Linked DNA regions of Daphnia pulex. The protein of the gene in region 1 purifies or fractionates together with the protein of each later gene. This does not show direct contact. Links are inferred from orthologs where the notes say so. Each region holds a gene or a part of one and is shown on either strand. Other genes may lie near its edges. The genes, in order: 26S proteasome complex subunit SEM1-like and ubiquitin-protein ligase E3C-like.

Evidence for each region.
Region 2: the proteins of 26S proteasome complex subunit SEM1-like (region 1) and ubiquitin-protein ligase E3C-like purify together in Homo sapiens (affinity purification with western blotting; 3 studies listed by BioGRID and IntAct, with this or other methods). This does not show direct contact. The link is inferred for Daphnia pulex from reciprocal best matches to the Homo sapiens genes SEM1 and UBE3C.

Annotation. Positions count from the first base shown.
Region 1 is NC_060028.1:1,556,420-1,559,071, reverse strand, and holds 26S proteasome complex subunit SEM1-like, read left to right. Parts: upstream 1-1,505; 5' UTR 1,506-1,618; coding exon 1,619-1,724; intron 1,725-1,827; coding exon 1,828-1,924; intron 1,925-1,996; coding exon 1,997-2,036; 3' UTR 2,037-2,115; downstream 2,116-2,652. UniProt on the Homo sapiens protein: Component of the 26S proteasome, a multiprotein complex involved in the ATP-dependent degradation of ubiquitinated proteins.
Region 2 is NC_060018.1:1,404,456-1,408,736, forward strand, and holds the start of ubiquitin-protein ligase E3C-like, read left to right. Parts: upstream 1-1,287; 5' UTR 1,288-1,425; coding exon 1,426-1,545; intron 1,546-1,612; coding exon 1,613-2,090; intron 2,091-2,152; coding exon 2,153-2,306; intron 2,307-2,372; coding exon 2,373-2,569; intron 2,570-2,633; coding exon 2,634-2,791; intron 2,792-2,857; coding exon 2,858-3,006; intron 3,007-3,071; coding exon 3,072-3,313; intron 3,314-3,380; coding exon 3,381-3,580; intron 3,581-3,638; coding exon 3,639-3,825; intron 3,826-3,889; coding exon 3,890-4,126; intron 4,127-4,186; coding exon 4,187-4,281. Other genes in the region: DNA excision repair protein ERCC-5-like, read right to left, coding at 1-190, 256-458, 516-610, 670-750, 836-923. UniProt on the Homo sapiens protein: E3 ubiquitin-protein ligase that specifically catalyzes 'Lys-29'- and 'Lys-48'-linked polyubiquitin chains.

The DNA.
Region 1 (2,652 bases):
GTCTATTATAACCGATTTATAATCTTGCTGAGTGAAGTTATTTTAAAATACCAATGTTTTCTTAGCGATTGACAGAATTGAAATTCTCATAGAATAAGTCGCCTGAACGCGTCTTCAAAGTGAAACCGGTGGCTTATAAAGCGAAATTATTCCGAATTTTAATTGTCAGTTTTCTACGAAAACAACGGTGAATGTTGGAAGTAGCGAGTTTGCAATTAGTTTGCTTTTGTAAGAGCGCGGTTCCATAAAGAAAAGAGGACCTTGTTAAGGGGACTTAAAAAACAACTTCAATGACAAATGATGTCAAACAGCAAACACACAGTTGAGAAGGAACTGGAACGGGCGAATCGGAGGAAACCGTGAAAGGTTTTTCAATCGAAAAGTTTTGAATTCCACGTAGAGCTGTGTCTATAAATTCATGAGAAAGACAACAGCTTATAAATAATTTAAAATTATTATTCCAAAGTTCATATCAGTGTACATACAAGGGATTACAAGCAGTCGATTAGTATTAAACCGTCGATTATAAGACGAAGGCCTATCATCCGATGTTCAAATGAAAATTCATAAATGGCGGACTAATGTCGTTGGATTTCCATTTTTCTAATATAGAATTGCGTACTTTTTTCTCTTACCTCGGGAATAACATAAAACAGTTTGATAGAAATGTAAATTCGGTGTGGTCAATCCAGTTGCTTGGGCCGAACCAAAATGAAAAAAAAAGAAGCTCAATTGTTAAAAGTCGACGGTTAGCAACAGCAGCCTAACCAACTTTTAACAGGCCGAAATGTAGGTTATTGGTCTTACATTAAGCAGCTATTCCTGTTGTCAACTGCATTACATCAGAAAATGTTTTATTCAGACTTATATGGCGTTAGATAACCAACCCTTCCTTACATCGGTATCCCATATATGCCCTTCTACTTTTATGTAATAACGGCTGGAATTCTAGAGTCGTCAGTCCAGAGGGGTCGTCTCAATTAGTTACGTACGTGAACTTGGAGGTCGATCCTGCTCAATACAATGAAATGCAGATGCAGAGGAACCTGCTATAAAATCAGAGATAACACCTCAATGTCCCTTTCCAAGGCCATTTCTTAGTCGCTTTTGAAACAGGTTCACAGAAATTTTACGTCATATCTAAAAATAAATGTTGGTTTCCTTTAGTTCCAAACAAAAAATTAATCGTGTGTAAACAATCAAATGGTGCACAACTAGGCATTATAATAAAGCAAAAGAATCTGTATAGAATCGTTTATCCTCATCGATATGCATGTGTGACCTACGTTACAAATAAGCTTATCCATTTAAAGTTCTTCTTATGACAATTCAAATTGAATTTGCGCAAATGAAGATAAGAGTTTCTAAATTTTATATTTATATTCCTTCCTTACTTTAAAATTCGCGGCAACGTTCGACTGGTTTTTCTGATGTTCACCGCCATCTGTGGTTAATATTATGTAACAAACCCAGCAGACGCCTTTTTGAAAACGCCAAGTCAGAAGTTACGATCAGTCAGCTTGAAGTCAGACTCAGAACCGTCAAGTTAGAAGCAGAACTTCAGTGAATCACTGTTAGTTGTTAAAAATCAAATCTATCTCTTAATAATAGTTCAGTCATGGCAGATGTGAAGATTGAAAAAACTGACTCCACCACCGAAAAGCCAAAAGTAGATTTAGGTCTGCTCGAGGAAGACGATGAATTCGAAGAGTTTCCGGCTGATGGTAACATTTCTTACTACCTAGCGAACTTGAAATTGCCTTTAAACTTAATTGCCTATACTTAAAATATATGTTCATAGTTACATGTACCCATTGAATATTGTAGATTGGACTGGCAAAGAAGAAGATGCTGACGATGTCAATGTCTGGGAAGACAACTGGGATGATGACAACGTTGAAGATGATTTCAGCCAGCAATTGAGGTTTGAATACTAGTAGAAATTATTAATGACTTAATTTGGCATAACCATAAAATCTTTTTATTTATTTCATAGGGCTGCTCTGGAGAAACAAGGCATTAAAATGGAACAGTGATCATTAAAATAACACACCCATTTTATTGTACCACTGTTCACTTAAAAATTGAATACAATACTGTCTCTTTTGTATTTAATTATCTTGGCATTTCTTTTAGAAATGTACTAGAATTGGATTTGCCAGTCAATTAGTTCCTTTTAAGTTATAATGGAATCCTTCCTAAATTTTTCTAATAAGTTTCTGATTGAAACCTGTCCCAGATAAAGTTGTTCCATCTGTCAATATCTTCCTTTAAAATGGGACTCCCCAGCATCATATTCCATACCAATGAACCATTCTTAAACCCAAATTTATTTTTTAATTATCAACAGTTTCACAACATTCAAAGCAGATTGGCCCTATCGCAGTCCTAACCGGAACCGCTAGGGTTCTGATTTATTTTTTAAAATTATTTTCATTTATTAATTTTAAAATTAACATTACCACAGATTCACAGATTTTATTCAATTCAGTAATTACTAGATTATATGATTATAACGTGGTCATTATGTCAAAAGTCAAATCTGTTCGATTGATTGTTTCGTAAGTTCGTTAACGATTAGTAGCTAGCAGACAGACATTGAAGTTTTATCCGTTTTCCTCACTAGACCAAGACGGCATTTGAAAAGTGTAA
Region 2 (4,281 bases), on another chromosome or scaffold:
GTTCCAGGAAGATTGCTTACGAGTGTCTCGCAGTTCCAATAGAATTTCATGTTGTATTTCAGTTGGCAAAGCAAGGAAAGCTTCACTTGTAACATCTACTGAATGTATGTTGTGACCTTTCATATGTAAAGAAATTGCGCCCAGATTTCCATTTGCATCGTCGTCAAAATCTGATTCTGAAGAATTGTCCCTAAACATCAACATTGTTATTAAAATGTTAAGAATTTCTGTGTCAAAGAATTAACAAAAATTTACTCAGTGTTTTGATTTGGAATTGGTGGAAGCTCAAATAAATCAGGTTCCAATTTTTTCTTTTTTAACAAAGGAGCTCCAGATTTCCCTTTATTTTTGCCAAGTTGTTTATTGATAACTTCTGACTTAATATAGTTTGAAAGGATTTTCTCTGCAACCATATCATTGTTCTTAACAGCTGTATCTCTCCTGTTATGACGTGCAGCCTAAATTGTATTTTATGATTTCAAAAATTGTTGAGTAACATGTAAAAATAAGTGTACCATGGTTTGCCGTTTCAGTACTGGAACCCCTCCATCAAAAACAAATACTGGTTTGATTTTGAAAAACAATAGCTTGCAAAGACGGTGGCATAAGCCTGATGAGAAGATGAATTAATCTAAATTAATCAAATAATGGCCTTGTGAATTGAATTACCCAATAAGTGGGCATTTGGTAATGGATTTCCTTGGGCATCCCGGAAACCTTTAGTTGCTTGATGAAGCCAAATAGACACATCTAAACAAATAAAAATAAAAAATGATATTTTATGATTTGTTTAGAGTGAAAACAGCATATCTCAACATGGTATTGAAGAACTTACCAACAGCGAGAACTTTATTCTCAAGGGTTTCTAGCGGAACAGGTTTGCCAACCGGTTCTAGTAGATTCCACAATCCATGAACTCCCATCTTTGAAATCACAAATTATCTCGTAAAAGTTTTCCTTCATTCAAAAGAAATTACTGCTCTTACAGATGAGACAAAGTTGTCTCACGGCATGCTTGTTTTCAAACAGAAATCGCTTGGAATATCTTCTGCTAGAATGGACAGAATTGTTTAGGTTGTGTTCACTAATGCTTCACCAGAGTTGGCTGCACTAATTCAATATAATAAAGATATTAAATGGTCTGAAAATAAAAGAGAATATTTTACGGTTTGTGTTTTAAACTTTTAATTGCTTTTTGAAAATATTCCCTGTATCTCGCGATCCGCGAATAGATTTTCTGCCATTTCACCTGTTTATAGCTTGTTATTTTAATTATGCAACATCGTAAGTTTAGTCATTCTTGTGAAAAACGTCTGCTGTTCAGTTTCCCAAAGTCACCAATTTATCACAATAAAAGGATAAAGGATCCAATTACGGCAACTCGCAAATAGTCCACAAGACCTGGATCGATTCGTTGTTTTTGAAATGTTTAGTTTTGAGGGAGAGTACAGGCGAAAACCTGTCCAAAGTTTGGGAGGCGCATCAAAACATAGTCAAAGAGACATTTTTCTCCAGAGAACACAACTAGAAAGGCAAAAAAGAGAAGTAAAACAAAAATATTGCATTTCAACTCAAGATCATTCATTACTAACCTACTTTATTGCTAATGCAGGATTTACGTCGACAAAACCAAAGTGCTGTTATCATTCAAGCTTTTTTTCGAGGTTGCCAAGCTAGATCCCTTCAAAAGAACATTCAACGACAAGAGTTTGAAAGAATACAGGCCACCAATTTCCAAAATATTAACTTACAACTCTTGACATCTTTGATCAACAAACTTAAGTTCTTCTTTGATAAAGAGAAAGATGCTAACAAACTTGTGTGGCTATCACAGCTGGTGATAAAAAATTCACCTAGCATAATGAAGCAATGCCAAACTGAGAAACCATTCACATTTAGCCTTGCTCAATTCCTCAGCTTAACTCTGTGCTACATATCTGATACTATTCATTTACCAACTGGAGAGAGCAAAGGGTCCCACTGGAGGGTCTTGGAAATCTTCCTCAATGCAGAGGGCTGGAGAAAAAGTGTAGGAGTTCAAACAGCTGATATGATTTTGGGTTCAATATTTTTTTTCCTGTCTCGAAAAGGTAACATTCTCTCCTTGTTATCACAAACTTTTTTTTGCAAATAAAAATTATCTTTATTTTAGGTTATTTTACCCAGTTACGCCAGATTGTTGATGTTAAAATACCACCTTTAGTTGAGCCCACCACAAAGGCACCAACCCCTCTTTCTGGTTGCCTGTTGGACTTTATTTTTCAACCCCTAGAATTTGCATCGGCGACAATGAATATAAATAATCGGTTTGAAAAAGAATTTTTCTATTTATTATCCCACTTTTAAATTTATTTAAATTTATTTTCGTTTAGTAACACTGTAGTTGCATCCTTTAGCCGAGAATTTCTGGAACCAGCGTATTCAGAACCAATCACAAATTTCATTCTTCCGTCTTTGAGGCAGAATAATAACAAAATTCCTTTGTTATGTTTGCTTCAAAACAATGAAGCTTGTGCAAGAAATCCGTGGCTTCTTCATAGCATTCTGGTGCTGGCAGATGGACACCCTGGTAACTTAAGAATTCAGTTAACATTCTTGATTCTATAAGTACCAACGATTTCTTCTTAAAATAGAACTTAAGGACGATAGAGTGCTGTCATTCTACGTTGCCACAGTAAGTCGTTTAAGCGGATGTCTCCAATTCATGCAAACTGCTGAAGTTCACGAAGACGACGACGACTCAGACGAAGAAGATGTACAAACTAACATATTTAAAGCTGCCGAACAAGAAGTAATAACCTTGAAATATCTGGTTCATTTCGCAAATCAGTAATGTCATTTTCCTTGATTGCTACAGATAATGACTCGTTGCTGTGAGTTACTTAATAATATCAATACGGTACATGTATTGGTAACAGCCCTGCAAATCCCTGACGTTCTACCAGATTTGTGTGTCGTTGGTCACAATCTGTTGCTGTCTGATCGATTGGCGCTCCACAAGTGCAGGTATAGCAATACATAAATTTACTCGTCTTGACTCTGTAATTTTTAACCGGCGCCATAATTTCTAGGCTACTTTATACGTTGGCTTTCAAACCTTGTTATCTGCAACAGTTGTTAGGCCATATCAAATCAGAAAAGCAAGTGTCGCTGTTTGGTTCATCGGATACGTCCTTGGTTCAACTTTTGGCGAAAGGTGTTCATCTGGCGCATTCGGAAATTGACCGAATCGTACCCGTGTTAGATGTTTTCTGTTCACTTTTCAGTCATCTTTTAGTAACGTTGGACGACTCCGAATTTTACAACGAATCGGGTTCGTCTTCTACATAGTTTTTTTCGAAAATAATTTTTAACTTAGCAATTTATTGCTCATTTATTAGATCCAGTTTCTGGAGCTATGCCGTTCAGCCTAACTGAAGTGGTCGAACTGGCTTCTATATTGCGTGACGTTTGCCTTGGATTGGTGGAACTTGCTTATCCTGATACTCGCCCAAGCACCTCCTTCAACTTTGTCAAGACCCGTACTACTTCCACCGGTAACACACAAGAAGATACCCGACTGTGGATGCATCTGTTCAAAGTAAGGCTAATTTATTCAATACATGGACACAAAATGAGTGATATACCCTTCATTGTAGTCTACAGTGAATCTCGTCAGCCAGTTGCACACAAGAGATACGCGCCGACCGTTCTGTCCTAGTTGGGTTTGGATAACTGGAAGAATTGCCCTGCCTTTGGAGAGGAATGGCCAGCTGTCTTTCCGTAGGCAAGGCAGACTTCACCGTCCGTTTAGGGCTATCCGACCATTAACCAGGAATGAAATTGGTAATTTTTCCTTCGTGTTGACACTCTAAAAGAGTATAATTTACTTAATAATATTTCTTAGTAGAAGAGGAAGGTAGTTCTATGTTGTCAACAAGAGAGGTGCGAACCTTAGCCATTCTGCGTGAAATTCCGTTTGTGTTCTCGTTCACCGATCGGGTCAAAATGTGGCAGCAATGGATCCTCAATGATAAAATGCAGCAACAGGGAGAGGCCAATTTCCTTCGAGGTCCATCCATTCAGGTCATGATTCGCCGGAATTATATTTATGAGGACGCTTTCGATAAACTTTCCCTTGAAAATGGTGAGTTTCATTCACAATTCTGAAGGATAACAGAAGATTAACTGAAATTTATCTTGACAGAACCAAATCTGCGATTTAAGATGAGAGTCCAGTTAACGAATGCTGTAGGATTGGACGAAGCCGGAGTCGATGGTGGTGGTATATTTCGTGAATTC